4 linked regions of the Rattus norvegicus genome follow. The protein of the gene in region 1 interacts with the protein of each later gene in a pairwise test. Links are inferred from orthologs where the notes say so. Each region holds a gene or a part of one and is shown on either strand. Other genes may lie near its edges.

Region 1 (4,277 bases):
CACAGTTGCTCCGGCCCCAGGGGCTTCGGGGACAGTCCCGGAGGGCCTCCTCTCCTCCTCCACACCCGACATCGTCCATCCACACGGGTCCCTCACCAGGTCCGAATCTGGCACCTCCAGGGGCGGCCAGCGCTCCCCCACATCCTAGCTCCCTACAGGCCACTGCTGCGTCTCGGAGGTCCCATCCATCATCGCAGACAGTACCCCAACGTCCACCGTGCCAGACTTCCAGGCGGCCGGCACATCCATGGGGACCTGAGACCAGACGCAGCCGCTCTGGGGGGTGCAGACAGGGAAGACAGGAGACCGTATGAGGCTAATGTCAGCTTGGAGGGGCAGCTTCTTGTTTGTTCACCTGGGGAAGCTAAGGCCCAGAAATAGCAGAGGACTGAGGTTTGCCTGCCGATTGGCTAATTTAGAAAAGAAAACTGCTATCCCTCTGGTTCTCATAGAGGAAGGATCAAGAAGAGGGGGTGGCCAGCCCTGACTGGATCTGAAGGGAGGAAACAATGAATGTTGGTCTCCTTGGAGAGTCATTGGCTGAATGGAGGTCTGGGATCCTCAGTTTGGCCGGGTCTAGGGTCTCATAGCACCCAGATCAGGACCTTGTCTAAGGGAGATTTAGAGACTTACCTTGGCGGGGAGCTCCATTTGTCAGTACAGGGGCTCGGGTGGACTTGACCTGCTTGGGTGGCCGGGGGTTCTTCTTTCGGGGGCCATTCTGGGAGCTTGCTGCCGGCTGGGGAGCTAGGAAAGTGACATGTGACCAGGAACTCAGGATCTGAGCTGGCCACCCTTCCTGACTTCTTTCATCTGTCTAGGGATTCTTTTCTGAGGGTTTGAAAGATTTCTGGACAGAGGATTTCTAGGTAACAAAGGAAACCAGCTTGCTGGGAAAACGTCTGCGTGACGACCTTCCCCATAGATGAGTCCAACCAGGGTGCAGGATGGGAAGCCTAGTCCTTTGTGCTCACCATGAGTTATAGGGGGCTCCTCTGAGCTGGGGCTCAGCTCCCCAGACAGTGCCAGCCATGGGTCCCCATCCAGCAGGGACACTGAGTCTTCTCTAGAGTTAGCTGCACGCTGACCTATGGGAGAGAAGCAAAGTTATGAGGACAGTGATGGGGGAGGAGTAGAAGGGCCATTTGACCCCTGGGGCAGAAGGACCTTGGATGCCTGAATTCCCTGGGGCTCAGAAATAAGCTGGCAGTCTTTGGGGGTGGGCACCTGGCCTTATGAGATCTGGAATTGGTTATCTCTCAGCTTCCAGACAGCTCAGATCTGTGGGAACTAAGGGCTTGGGGGTTCCTGGGGCCAGAACCATAAGAGGAGTTTGAATCTTTTTACCTACACAGACGACGCCCGCGTCCTCCTCGTGAGAGCAGATATGAGCCTTCCAGCCCCGGTGGGGACAGATACCCAGCTGTCCCTCACTGCCCCGACAGGCCAGCTCACTGAGCCACACGGGCCCAGTGCCCTCCCCAAAGAAGGCACCCCCGGGGGCGGCTAGCGCCCCTCCGCAGCCCAACACACGGCAGGCCACTGCAGCATCCCGAAGGTCCCATCCGTCATCACACACGGTGCCCCAGCGCCCGCTGTACCAGACCTCCAGGCGTCCTGCACAGCCATGAGGGCCATCAGCCAGGCGGAGTCGCTCTGAGGGGTGAAGAAAAAAACTGTAACTCCAGACAGGAGTACTGTAGGCACGGTGACACCAAGGGTGGCGGTGGGGGGTGTGTGTTACAAGCTACCATCAGGAATCCAGCTACCCTGGAGGCTGGGCCCTGGTCCCAGACTCCTGGGTGCAAATAAGAGGAGTATCTCAGAGATGCTGGGGGCTGTGTGGAAGGACACTGAACCAGGGAATTCGGGCATCCAAAGTCCTTCTGCCAGGGGTCAAATGGCCCTTCTACTCCTCCCCCATCACTGTCCTCATAACTTTGCTTCTCTCCCATAGGTCAGCGTGCAGCTAACTCTAGAGAAGACTCAGTGTCCCTGCTGGATGGGGACCCATGGCCTGCACTGTCAGGGGAGCTGAGTGGAATCTGGGCAGCAGGGACCAGCAGGAGAGAGGGGAGGCTTAGAGCTGGGTGAGGCCAAGTGCAGAATCAGGACACTTACCTATAGCCTGGATCCCCACCAGCATTGCTGCAAAGGAGATTGGAAGGGACAGAGTGAAGGGTAAATCAGAGGGGAGGGGTCCTTTCCCCAGTGCAGGCTTCCAGCTTCAGTTCAGTGGGAAGCATCATTCACATACAGATTCCTCATACCTCTGAGTCAGAAGCCCCATTGCTGGAATGGACTTTGGGTGGAGGCTGGGATAAGTTACAGGTCCCTGGGGTGGGTGGGGCCCCGGATGCCTGACCCTTGAAGACAGGGCTGGGGACCATATTGAATGGTGGGAGTGATAGCTCCACAGAGTGCATGCAGGGGCAACAAAGGGCAGGTCACTTGAGTTGCTAGGCAGGACTAGCAGAAGGCTGGGTCCCTGAGGGATTAGAGGGGCCGACCAGATGTCAGGCTATCACACAGCACCAGGGACCAGAACAGGCTCCCTATAGTATGAGTCCCTGAACTGGAGAAGCTAAAGTGTCAGAGGTGAGGGTCCAGGCCCCTAAGGTGCCCCACCCCCCACGGGAATGGATCACTCACCAAGAAGACACGCCAAGACCCTCATGTTTGCAGAGTCCAGGGCAGGGGATGGGGTGAAAGGGGAAAGAGGGCAGGAGAGGGGAGGCGGAGGCAGCCAGGGAGGATAGGAGGGAGGGAAGCCGCTGCTGAGGCGCCCTGGACAGCTAGGAGCAGGCTGGGCTGAAGGCTTTGCCAGGAGGGAGAGAGGCTGCAGGGATGCAGCAGGGGACAGGAGGGGGAGGGGGCTGGCCACAGCTGAGCCTGGAGGAGGGGGGGCGGTGGGCAGGCAGAAGGGAGGTGTTCAAGTGCAAACACCCACACTGGAGGGAGGCGGCCAGCCAAGCTCCAGAGGGCCACGCGCTTAGAGATGCTTCTGGGGATGGCAGTTCTGGGAAGGGGCAGGCCTGGGTGTCTGGGGGACAGGGCTGAGGGCACACCCTTTTGCCTCCTCTTATTGTCCAGCCAGGCAAGTAAGTGTAAACGGGAGTGGACAGATTTGGGGGAATCCTGCAGTAGCAAGAGGGCCTGCAGCCAGACACTAGGAGGGACTTCCTAGATCTAGAAGAGAAACTGAAAAACCTCTCTCTCCATTTGACACCCACTGTGGCAAATCTGGATGGGAACCTCCCAGTGCCTATTTGAGGAAGGAGTGTCTGAACTTACAACTTACCAGTTCCTAGAACAAAGGTATGGAGGGTAGAGAGACCAAGGGGGTCAAGGCCTCGGTTTGGAGGGGGTGTACACACACACACACACACACACACACACACACACACACACACACACAGCAGGCAGCTGTAAAGGGAAAAACTTTGGTAATGGGGAGCATGACTCAGAAGGCCTGGCAGAGACTGGGCTGCCGCTGTGAGCTCACTGCTTCTCCTTTTCCCAGCACAGTGCACGCGCCTCCCCCCCCCCAACTTCTCTAGCAATTAATGTCAACTTTGGAGAGGAGGAGCCAGACAGAAGGAGGGAGTCTGGAGAGAGCAGCTGGAAAATGCATCAGAGAGGAGACAGGCACACAGAAGTTTCAGGATTTATTAACAAACAGTGTAAAAAACCAGATGGTCTTGGAGACACTATGCTCCCAGTCCCACCCACTCCCAGAAGATCTGTCCCCTTTGGGAGTTCCCTGTCAGACTCTAACTCTGAGAGTCTCAGTCTCTCTCTCTCTCTCTCTCTCTCTCTCTCTCTCCCCCCCCCCCAGATATCCCTTCCAGACCTCAAATACACGCAACAGGGGCTTTGTAGACCCAGAACCACAAGTTTTTTCAGTGCATACAGACTGGGGCTGGGGGTTGGGGGGGGGGAGAAGTGAACAGGGCGACTTCTAGTGGTCCCAGAAGACCAAGAAGGAATTTGTTCTATTTGAGTTTAGAGTCCCCATTGCATCTGGCAGGTCCACTGTGAGCATGTAAGTCCATCAACCTTGGTGCCTCACTATCAGCCCAGCAGACTAGGTGGACACTGCGGGAGGGGATGTAAAGTGCACGGCACACAGTAGGTGTTCTTTAGGTGCTGGTTCTCTGCCCATCTACCCAATGGGCATAGTCTCCAATCACAGGTCTTTGCTGAATTCCCTAACCAGCATATAGCCCATGCAGCCCCAGCCTCCCTCTGCCTGGTAGCCACAGGCCTCCAATAAC
Region 2 (3,500 bases), on another chromosome or scaffold:
CTGTAAGGATGCCCCTCCGCCTCGGTCTGTACAAGACCAGGAAGTCAGCTGCAGAGGGCTGGGAAGAAACGAAGGTGCTCAAAGGGCCCCCCAGGGAACCAGTACTGCAGCAGCAGTTCTAAGACCGACTGACTCTGTTGAGGGCCTGCTCTCTGAGGAGTCCCCAGAGCTCACTGAAGGGGAAGGGGTTGCAGGCACCTTGATGTTATCCGCAAAGTCTTCTAGAGCTTTGGCCCCAATGGTCTCCATGGAGGTGATGAGGCCTGGCAGCTTGTTCTTCGTGCTGGCTGCTGTGCCCTGAGGAAGGACATGACTGAAACAGTCATCAGAGTCCAGTCACTGCCCTCTCCAGCAAGCCCTGAGTGTGGTATATCCTTCTAGGCCCTTCCCAACCCTTAGTCTGAAGGCTGGATTCTCCAGGTCAAGATTAACCACAGCTCTTCTGTTGCCTTGCAAGCATCCTGACTTGTCCAAAGCCCCTTGGGAGTCACTCATTAGAGCTCTAGGTGAGCATGGGCTAATTCCCCAGAAGGAGTAAAGGGACACCGTGGCATGTACCCGCGTGCGTGCATGTGTGCGTGCATGTGTCTGTCTGTCTTTGTCTGTTTGTCTGTGTGCCTGTGTGCCAGTATGTGTGAGTGTGTGACAGAGAGACAGACAGAGAGAGAGGCCCTTAGGACCTCCTGGCTCACATACCTGGAGCACCTGGTCAAACTCAGGCTTGGTCTGCTTGAGGTGTCGCAGGATGGGGAAGACGGTGAGCACGGTGGAGAAGTCATGGCGGATGATGGCTTTCCTGGCCGCGGACACTATGTTCTCCCCTTCAAGCATCAGCCCATCTAGGGCATCCTAGAGGAGGGACAAGGCCAGAGCTGGTTCCTGGGACAGTGAGTCACTTTGTGGGGCACGAAGGAAAGCCAGAGTGCTGTGAGGGATGGGGGAGGAGACTACATCCAATAGAGTTGAGGGCTTAGGGCAGCAGCCCCGCCCCACCCTCTAGATTCTGCAGTAAAAGTTACAGGGTCAGCGCAGAGCAGCGTGGCGGGAGGAGTGAGACCTGTATCAAGGAGTCGAAGGTTTTCTTCTGGTGATGCTCGGGAATGATGCCCATCAGCAGCTGGTATTCACTCTGTGCCAGCCTGACAAAGGCACTAACGCAGTGAATGTAGGCATCTGTCTCCACGTCCAGCATGTCATCTCTCCCTAGGGGACAGCAGTGACCCTGAGTGCTGGTCTGGGAGAGGCCACTCGCTCTACTTGGGGTATGAGTATCCCCAGCTCCTGGGCTGAGCCCAGACAGGCAGTAAACAGGAAAAGGAAGACACAAACAGGACAGGAAGCTATAAAGACTGTTCTGGCAGACCTGGGAGATCAGGAACTGAGTCCAGACCGTGTCCTGGTGCCACTGTCAGCTCTGCACAGGCAGCATTTAAGTCCCCAGATCAAACACTAGAGGTGGTGGCAGAAAGCGCCAAGGAAGGAAATTCCCAAACCAACTTCCTGGATAAGGTTGTCTGCCCAGGTCTGAGGATTCTGAACTGCTTCAAAGAGGGTGGTCCAGGAAAGGCAGGTGGCAGTGTTCATTTTAAGAAGGGGGTTGATGTGGTCTTCAACCTGGGAGATGTGGTTCCTACGAAGGTCATTACCAACTGCACCGGGCCCTGAAAGTGTGAGGGAGTGGTGGGCTCTGAGGCTAGCTGGCATGTGTACAGAGGAGAGCTAATTCCAGGGAGAATTAGCAGACCGAGTGTGATGTATAACTATGACCCCAATGCCCACCCACTGGGGGGTGATGACTGAGTTCGAGGCCAGCTTGAAGGACATAGCGAGGTTCTCCCTCAACAAAACAGAACAGTCTGAGAGGAGATAAGTGAGTCTCGGCGTCTCTTTGTCGAACAGCCCCAGGGAAGACAGCGTCCCTCTATTAGAAGTTGGACATGTAGGGGTTGGGGATTTGGCTCAGTGGTAGAGCGCTTGCCTACCAAGCGCAAGGCCCTGGGTTCGGTCCCCAGCTCCGAAAAAAAAAAAAAAAAAAAAAAAAAAGAAGTTGGACACGCATGCCAGGGTAGAACAGTCCGGTTTTATATGGCATGGGCAGGCTCCAAGAAGTGCAACATCCAGGTTCCTTGACCTCAGAGGAGCCACCTGTCCTCCTGCCTCCTTCCGAGCTCAGGCTGCAGCTGCTCCTCTAGCCAGGCCCCAGGAGCCAAGCATGCACTCCCATCTCATAAGAGGCAAGGAGACCTAGGCCCAAAGGAGCCTGGAGTGGGAGCTAGGCCACGGGACAGGCCCATCCTTCGACAGAGCAGGCCATCGGGGGCAGTACTTCCAAGGCAGTGTTTGGCTACCCTGGGGCTGGGCTACGGTACTCACCGGCCAGTGGCCCGTGCTTGTCATTCAGGGCCTCTGACAGGTGCTTAACTCGAAAATCATGCTCATGACCTAGCAAGATGTCGGCCACACAAACACAAGCAGCATTTATCCAGGGGCCAGGCAGCTGCCCCTTGGGTATGGGGACGAAACCCTTGATCTCCAGGAGCGGAGCGTGAAATGGGGCTAGGGAGGGGGCACTGAGGAGGGCTCTGAGCCCCTCCACCACCTCAGATGCCACTGGGAACAGCCTTTTCAAGCCTGATTCTTAAGGGGTCTCAGGACCATCCCTGGCTGTGTGTTTTCTGACCTAGGGAGACCAAGAGAAGGCACACAGCCCCAGGGAGACACAGTGAAAATGTCACTGCTGAGTGAATGAGGACAGCCTTCCTTTGTAAGAGGCTGGGTCCACCAGGTCTGCAGATCTACCTGTCCCTCCCTTCACAGGAGAGGAGGGACATGTCCCTCAGGCAGCCTGTCCCCTTAGCTACATGAAGTACTCTTTCTACAGAGGCAGGTAGCCAGGAGGCCCTGGCCAACTTGGTCCTGCCCTGCTGATCTGGGCGTGAAAGGGCTGCCCCAAGACAGTGTTCTCTGAGTTCACACAGGACACAAGGACAGGGACAGGGAGCAGGAGCCTTAGGAAGGGCAGAGCCAGGCAGGATCAGGGCCATGAAACTTGTCCTCGGGCCTGCTGAAGCCTGAGGAGCATCAGGGGTTTGCCGCTGCCACCCAGCCCCCTCAGGATCTGTCCCATGCTCTCCTGGGGGAGGCTCTGCCCTGCCCGACAAGTAAGCAGACACACAGTGGAAGAGGGGAAGGAGCACAGGGTGATTACCTTCCAGAGGAATGAGGTTAGAGCCCCCCTTTTTCCCATCTAGACCATGCTGGGAATACTGTTTCAGAAGGTTCTGAGCCTTACGGATCGTCCCTGTCACCAGAGCCACACAGAGAGGAGAGAGGAAGACCTAGGGAGTGAGCGAGAGAGAACAGCAGCGGCCCAACACCCACCCCGCCCTCGTCCACCCTCGCCCAACCAACAGCGAGCATGCCCCCTAACACCTCTGCCGGCAGGCCCTGCCAGGGTCACCAGACACCCTTGAGGACGGAGAGAAGAAAAGGTATTCAAA
Region 3 (3,500 bases), on another chromosome or scaffold:
CGTGAAGGCATCAGCACCAGAAGCTGCAGCAGAGGGACCAGCAGGGTCTGTGTGGGGTCTGATGCCTCCTCTCTGGGCCTAGCCTCTACCCTGGCTCAGGACTGCTTTTGGTAGATGCCATGCCCATCTGAGAAAAGGTTGTCTGTAGATTCCAAGGCCGGCGACTGCCTTGGAGTGCCTCAGACAACCGGAAATGTTGCTTCTTATGTCTACTTCAGGGAATACTGGAGTCAAGAATCCAGAATGTCTTCAGAATTGTGACCTTCCCTATAGGGATAGATCCCCCAACCCCACCCCATCCTTCAGGGCAACCTCTTTGGATCTTTTTGTTTGTTTGTTTGTTTGTTTGTTTTTTGAGACAGGGTTTCTCTGTGTAGCCCTGGCTGTCCTGGAACTCACTCAGGCTGGCCTTGAACTCAGAGGTCCGCTTGCCTCTGCATCCCAAGAATGTGTGCCCAAGAGGCTGCAGAGAAGCTAAGACCTCAGATGGCCTGGACACAGAGAGCCCTGCTCTACTATGAGAACCAAAAGACATCCTCAGAAAATTACACCCTGTCAGGTCTCCAGCCTCAGTTCCTGGCTACCACTTTACAAGCAAACTGCAAAGTGGCCCGGTAGTAACCATGTACCTACATCACCGCTAGGCTCTGGGCCCCCCAAGTGATCCCACCTGCCCTAGCACCCCTAGAAACTTTAGTCCTCAGCACCTCAGTGGGGCAGAGGAAGGTGACCAGGTGGCTGTTGCCCACCCAGGCAGAATTCAGGGGCATCAGACAAAGATGAGTGAAGGACACTGCACACTTATGCTGGCTCTGGACGCCAGGTGTCCTGGGAGGCTGAGTCACAGGTCCAAGTTCTTAGTGGGTTACAGAAACAAGTTCATTTTGTTCCAAGGTCAGAAGTGGAATTCACAGGGGTTGGGGATTTAGCTCAGTGGCAGAGCGCTTGTCTAGCAAGCTCAAGGCCCTGGGTTCAGTCCCCAGCTCCAGAAAAAAAAAAAAAAAGACAGAAGTGGAGTTCAGGCTAGAGTTGGGATTCATAGACACTGTAGGGTGGTTTGGGATGGTGGTTCACAGGGAAAGCGGTGTCTGAGGTCACGCTGGGATTAGAACTGAATGGAGAGATAGCAGGCAGGGCCACAGCCAACTTCCCATCAGTCCTGCGTATACTGCAGCAGGCCCAGGGTCTCTCCCCGTTTGGCCAAGGTCGCTCAGAAAAGACAAACTTTGTGGGACACACACACACACACACACACACACACACGGGGCTCAGGCAGCTTGGCAGCGAGGATCAAGTAAGTCTGACTTTTGAATTATTGAGTCAGGGGAGTTCTAGGCCTCTTGCCCTTAAACAGGACCTTGGCACTGTGAAGAAGGGAGGAGCCCACACATCCCAGGGTGCCCCACAGTAGCCCAGGCTCACTTGGTGTTGTCTGAATCAATGGTGTGGAAGAGGCCCTCCAGCTCCTTCTCATTGAGGACGCCATCCGCGAAGAACAGTTGAAATTCCTCAAGGGACAGTTTCCCGTCGTCTGCAATGGACAGGCAAGGAAACAAGTGACTGCTTGTCTCAGAGAAGAGAGCGCATGGTAGCCTACAGCCTGTCCTCAGCTGACAAACTCCCTGTTGTCAGCCTGAGGCCTACTGACAGGTAATCCCAAACCATCGGAGACAACTGGTTTCTGGGGAGCAGATACCTTCATGCTCTATCAGGCAATCACCCCTTCTGCTCTCCCCTCAGTCATCTGACATAGACATTATTTTTTTTTTTTTTGGTTCTTTTTTTCGGAGCTGGGGACCGAACCCAGGGCCTTGCGCTTCCTAGGTAAGCGCTCTACCACTGAGCTAAATCCCCAGCCCCCTTACATAGACATTATTTAAGCAACATGCTTAACCTGATACCACTAGCCTATCAGGGATCATGCTCAATCCAAGCCCCAGGTCCCAGCTCTGAAGCAGTCTGAAGATAGTCCTTCTATTCCGTCCTTCCTCAAGGCAACAGCAGGCTGAGCTCAGACCTTCAACCTACCCTAGAGCAGGACTTTGTGCCACATGGTAGGTAACAGCACAGTCCCCCACCTTTTGGGTGAGGGGTAGTCAGTGGCTCCATATTTCATGGCGTAGCTGGGCTGCATGGAAAAGCTGAAGCCAATGCTAGATTCAATGAATGTGTGCTGTAATTGATTAGTCATGTCTGTCCCGGGCACAGCATGGGGTGTGCTAACACCAGGCCAGGCTTCCCTCTTGACTGTTTCCACCTGCTTATCATGGATGGTACCTCAGTGTCCTCTGTACCCAGAGAGAACAGGAAGCTGGAAGACAGGGCCTGCAGATCCTCTGACATTTACCTTGGGTGCTAGTCACAGGCCTAATGAGCACAGATGAGCTATTAAGAGGAAAATATCCTCCACTTGGCCTCTGGTCCAATTAGAGAAGACAAGTTGTCCTGCAGTTTCATCACCTCTGCCAATGACCCAAGTGGGGCTGTTTGCAGGTGGTGCTACTAATGAGCAGGAGCCCAGCCTGCAGCAATGACCTTTCAAATAGCAGGAACCTGTGAGCCTCACATCCTTGGATGGAAGGGCTGGCTGGTCCTCACCCTTCTGCTGAACAACAATGCCAGTCTTTGAGGGTGATACCCAGGCCTCTCACACTAGCCTTCCCTTGGGGATTAGCTACCCCGTGTCTACCACATCCAAGCTAGTCAATCATGAGAGCCTCCCAGAGACACTCAGCCTTGTTCTCATAATGGAAGGCATCTTGCATACATTGGCAGATGTATGCATTGGCACAGAGGCCCTCCTGTGCTTTGGGCACAATGGCCTCAACGGAGAAGACAAGTTCAATCACCCAACCTGTGGGAGTGGTGGGGGTCAGGAGGGTGCAGTCTAAGGCTCCAAGCTGACACTCCTGTGACCTGTGTGGGGGGCAGGGGCCAGGCCTCTTTCCCTGGGTAGTATAGGCTCTGCACAGTGCTACCACACCTTTGGTACCCTACATCCCTGTGTTGTGTGTGGAATCTGCAGGTGGTCCCCAAGGCCTGGGAAGATGCATACCATCCCTGGGACAGGCCCAAGAGGGCAACACTCCTCTATAATGATCCTAGCCCAAGCCTGTCCCCCTGTCCTTCCAGATCCCAAAGAGCTCCATCCCAACCCACAACCACGTGGGACAGTTAACAACAGCTCCTAGGAAGGGCAGAGGAGGTGGACAAGGCCGGAGCCACCTTGAATTAAAACCCACTTGGGAAGGGCCTCAGGGCAGGTGACAGGCAAGGGTTCTCTTCTGCAGTGTTGTAGGTCACCCACGTACATCTCTTTACCTCACCCCAAAGCTCAGGGCAACACAGGACAGCTGTTACCACGTCAGCTTACAGAAGGGGAAACCGAGGCACAGAGCAGTGACAGCACTTAGCCTCTGGATTTCTTGCACTCTTCACCCTCAGGTCCATAGTCGTCCATGTTCCCACCCCTAGCTGTTTCCCATGAAGCACCAGGACAG
Region 4 (3,500 bases), about 110 Mb from region 1:
GATGCCTGACAAAACTGTGGCAGGCAGAGATAAGAGGCTGTCACACTTACAATATGAAAGAAGTTACCAGAAATAAAAATTCTCTAAGGGCAGCTTGTGAGCGTTCACAGAGGGAAGGGAGCACCTCACAGCACAGCACAATGCGGCCAGAACACGGTCTGCAGGATTAGCTTCAGAAAGCACGGGCCCCATCACATCACAATGTCAGCAGCTACAAACATGCTATCAGCCGTGTGTGGCAGCATAAATACTGTCTGGACCTGTGGCTTTGAAACGGGCGCATCCAAAGCTGAAGGGGGGAATTTCTGCCACAGTGCCTGGTAAATGCTGTTAACATTCAGTGGCATCAGTAAATGGCCTACAGTTTAATAATTTTATGTATTCCCCACCAAGAAACTAAAAATATAAGTCTCAAAGAGGGGTGATTTTCACCGCATGAGGAAATTCGACACAATCTGAGCATGCTTGCTATCACATGGAGAAGATCTGTTTGACTGTCAACTAGACAAGGGTGCTGCTGGGCATTCTAGAACATTCTCCACAGCCCCCTAACCCATAGCAGCTCAGCTGTTTTAAAGCCAGCCTCAGAACATTAGGGTGTATTCATCACATCCGGGAATCTGAGTTCAATTTCCAGCATCCAAAACAAACTGTCTAAAATTTCCTAGATCCTTAAATATTTACACTAGGAATACACAGGAACAGTGAGATAGTAAAAGGCTGTTATTTGCCTATGTTGGAATAAGCCATTTTGTATTACAATTTAAACTTGCCTCTAATTTCAGCTACTGTGAAAAACAAGTCATCAAAATCTACAAACCTGTCAACACCCGTGGCGTGCCCACCCAAGGCGCTGTGCCAGTGAACTGGCAGGAACTCCACTCTGCTGACTTTCCCTTCATCTACAGACTTCTTGAAGTGTGTCTGCAGCAACTTGAGAGAAACCACCCTAAAATCATCCACTTTAAAAAAAAAAAGAGTAAATTATCTTACCATTGTAGCTAATTAACTAAAATCTGCTGGCTTTTTACAAAAAGATAGATGTTTTTAAAAAGATGAAAAAATAGTAAATGAACAAACACTGACTGATCAGAAGTACGTCTTAAGTTATATTGTATTTAAGGCCTTAAAAAACTTAGTTTAACTTCCTCAAACTCCCTCCTCAGCACCAGGTTCCAGAACCGACGTGACCCTGGCACACTAACTCAGCCAGGGCCTCTCCTCTCCTAGCACTGGCAGTAGCAGTGACACACCCACACCTGAAGGTGTATCTGAGAGGCTGAGGACAACACACGTGCTGGGAGCACTGAGTCCTCAGTAAGCTCAGACAGTTACTACAGACAAAGCCCTAAGCAGCTTCTCGGAGGACTCCCTCTGTAGCAGCTCAGTACACAGGAGCTCTATGCTGCTCCGAGGGCTCAGCCAGGTTGGCTGTTGGCCAAAACGGTGAAATCATTACCCAGATGCCTTCTAATTCTTCAGAATCCAGGAGTGTATGCAATAAGAGCAGATCAAACACAGATCAATACTTCCTATTGACCACAGAAATCTCCACTCACAGTCCCCAGCCACAAGTACATAGCTAGCAACTACCATAACAATGAACACTAAAGAGCCCCTCTACCAGCAATCGGAGGTGTCTATAAACCAAGATGTGGCGTGCACTTACCACATTCAATAATGCTTCTAAAGCGCAAGTCACACACTGGCCCAATGCCATGCACCATGAACACCAAATGGTCAACTTGAGGCATTTCCCCTGGTAAAAACAAATAAATTATCATTATCATAAAACACACATATACACAAAGCTGAGTACTTGGTATTGTTAATTAAATTGCTAAATTCTTGATATTCTTATTATCATAAACTAGTCAAAGAAATCCATTACCCTCCCAAGCAAATATCTCTCATTTCCTCATATTAAATTAGAATAATTTGTCTAGTTTGGCAAATAATGGCACACTAAATGGAGAGGTTAAGAAAACATCAGTTCAGGCTGGAGAGATGGCTCAGCGGTTAAGAGCACCCGACTACTCTTCCAGAGGTCCTGAATTCAATTCCCAGCAGCCACATGGTGGCTCACAACCATCTGTAAAGAGATTTGATGCCCTCTTCTGGTGTGTCTGAAGACAGCTACAGTGTACTTATATAAATAAATGAATAAATCTTTAAAAAAAAAAAGAAAAGAAAACATCAGTTCTTCACAGACCTACTGACCCTCATAATGTATATTTTTTTTTTTCAGAACTCCACATAACTGGGATGAAACTGTAGCTGTGTGGAATAAAGTGTGTACATGGCCCTGAGCTCAATCCCCTACACCAAACAAACAAGCAAAACCAAACATCCTTCATAGAACTCTAAGCCCAACATGGACACACAATCTGACAATATAAAACTTTAAAGTCTTTATTCCCAAAGTCCCTCCCCTTAATTCAAAAGCATTCTAAGACAGCCAGCCAAGGTCCTGGGACCTCCCTCTGGAGAGAGAGGCAGGTAAATCTCTGTGAGCTGGAGGCTAGCATGGTCTACAAAGCAAGTTCCAGGCCAATCAGAGCTATACACTGTAACCCTATCTCCAAACAGAACAAAAACCAATAGGAGTATGGTTGAGTAAGAATGGACACCATAGGCTCATATATGAATGCTTAGTCGCTAGGGAATGGAACTGTTTGGGAAGGACTGGGAGGTGTGGCCTTAGAGGGGTTATGTCATGAAGTGGGCTTTGATGTTTCAAAAGCATAAACCAGGCCCAGTCACTCTCTTTGCCTTCAGAACAGAATCTAAAGCTCTCAGCTCTTTCTCCAGCCCCATGCCTGCTTGCTTGCACGCCTGCCTGCTGCCATGTTTCCTACCATGATAATAGTAAAAATTGAAAGCAAGCCCCCCAATTAAATGCTTCCTTTTCTAAGAGTTGCCTTGGTCTTGGTGTCTCATCATAATAACAGACCGGTAACAAGACAAGATATATCTCAAAGTTCAATCTATTTTCCTACACTATTTCATCCGGATCTCATAACACCTATTTATCTTATCTTATTAGACAATGAAATGTCTAGTATCAAAATAAAATATGTTCTTCAATGGCAGAAAAGAGGAAAACCAAGTGTGGAGGTATACATCTGTCACGCCAGCTCTTGGGATGCTGAGACAGAAGAACTGCTGTAGGTCAACTTTGACTACATAGTGAAAGGCTGTCTCAAAAAGGTTGGGGACAGGGTTGCTGGCAAGATGGGTCAGAAGTTAAGAACATTTACTCCTCCTTCTAGAGGACCCAACTTTAGTTTCTAGCACCTACGTCATGTGGTCACAATTGCCTATACCTCCCTGCCCTTTCAGAAGACATGATACCTTCCTTTGGCTTCCTCAAGCATTTGCACATACACATGAATGAAGAAATAGTAATAAATCTTTCAAAAAGCCAAGTTTGGTAGCTCATAGAATAATCACATCACTTAGAAAGCTAAAGCAGGAAGATCTCTGTAATATAAGGCAAA

Evidence for each region.
Region 2: the proteins of Ssc5d (region 1) and Exoc7 interact in binary tests that used the Homo sapiens proteins (3 or more experiments, as listed by UniProt). The two-hybrid records come from large-scale screens. The link is inferred for Rattus norvegicus from reciprocal best matches to the Homo sapiens genes SSC5D and EXOC7.
Region 3: the proteins of Ssc5d (region 1) and Necab2 interact in binary tests that used the Homo sapiens proteins (3 or more experiments, as listed by UniProt). The two-hybrid records come from large-scale screens. The link is inferred for Rattus norvegicus from reciprocal best matches to the Homo sapiens genes SSC5D and NECAB2.
Region 4: the proteins of Ssc5d (region 1) and Sec23ip interact in binary tests that used the Homo sapiens proteins (3 or more experiments, as listed by UniProt). The two-hybrid records come from large-scale screens. The link is inferred for Rattus norvegicus from reciprocal best matches to the Homo sapiens genes SSC5D and SEC23IP.

The regions. Positions count from the first base shown.
Region 1 is NC_086019.1:77,935,775-77,940,051, forward strand, and holds the start of Ssc5d (soluble scavenger receptor cysteine-rich domain-containing protein SSC5D precursor), read right to left. Parts: upstream 2,801-4,277; 5' UTR 2,678-2,800; coding exon 2,653-2,677; intron 2,149-2,652; coding exon 2,122-2,148; intron 1,657-2,121; coding exon 1,348-1,656; intron 1,089-1,347; coding exon 975-1,088; intron 748-974; coding exon 634-747; intron 277-633; coding exon 1-276. Other genes in the region: Nat14 (probable N-acetyltransferase 14), read right to left, coding at 4,190-4,277.
Region 2 is NC_086028.1:102,025,802-102,029,301, forward strand, and holds part of Exoc7 (exocyst complex component 7), read right to left. Parts: intron 3,302-3,500; coding exon of another isoform or gene 3,198-3,301; intron 2,531-3,197; coding exon of another isoform or gene 2,374-2,530; intron 1,204-2,373; coding exon 1,058-1,203; intron 850-1,057; coding exon 697-849; intron 298-696; coding exon 199-297; intron 1-198. UniProt on the Homo sapiens protein: Component of the exocyst complex involved in the docking of exocytic vesicles with fusion sites on the plasma membrane.
Region 3 is NC_086037.1:64,412,999-64,416,498, reverse strand, and holds part of Necab2 (N-terminal EF-hand calcium-binding protein 2), read right to left. Parts: intron 1,532-3,500; coding exon 1,423-1,531; intron 1-1,422. UniProt on the Homo sapiens protein: May act as a signaling scaffold protein that senses intracellular calcium.
Region 4 is NC_086019.1:192,768,381-192,771,880, reverse strand, and holds part of Sec23ip (SEC23-interacting protein), read right to left. Parts: intron 1,760-3,500; coding exon 1,670-1,759; intron 963-1,669; coding exon 821-962; intron 1-820. UniProt on the Homo sapiens protein: Plays a role in the organization of endoplasmic reticulum exit sites. Specifically binds to phosphatidylinositol 3-phosphate (PI(3)P), phosphatidylinositol 4-phosphate (PI(4)P) and phosphatidylinositol 5-phosphate (PI(5)P).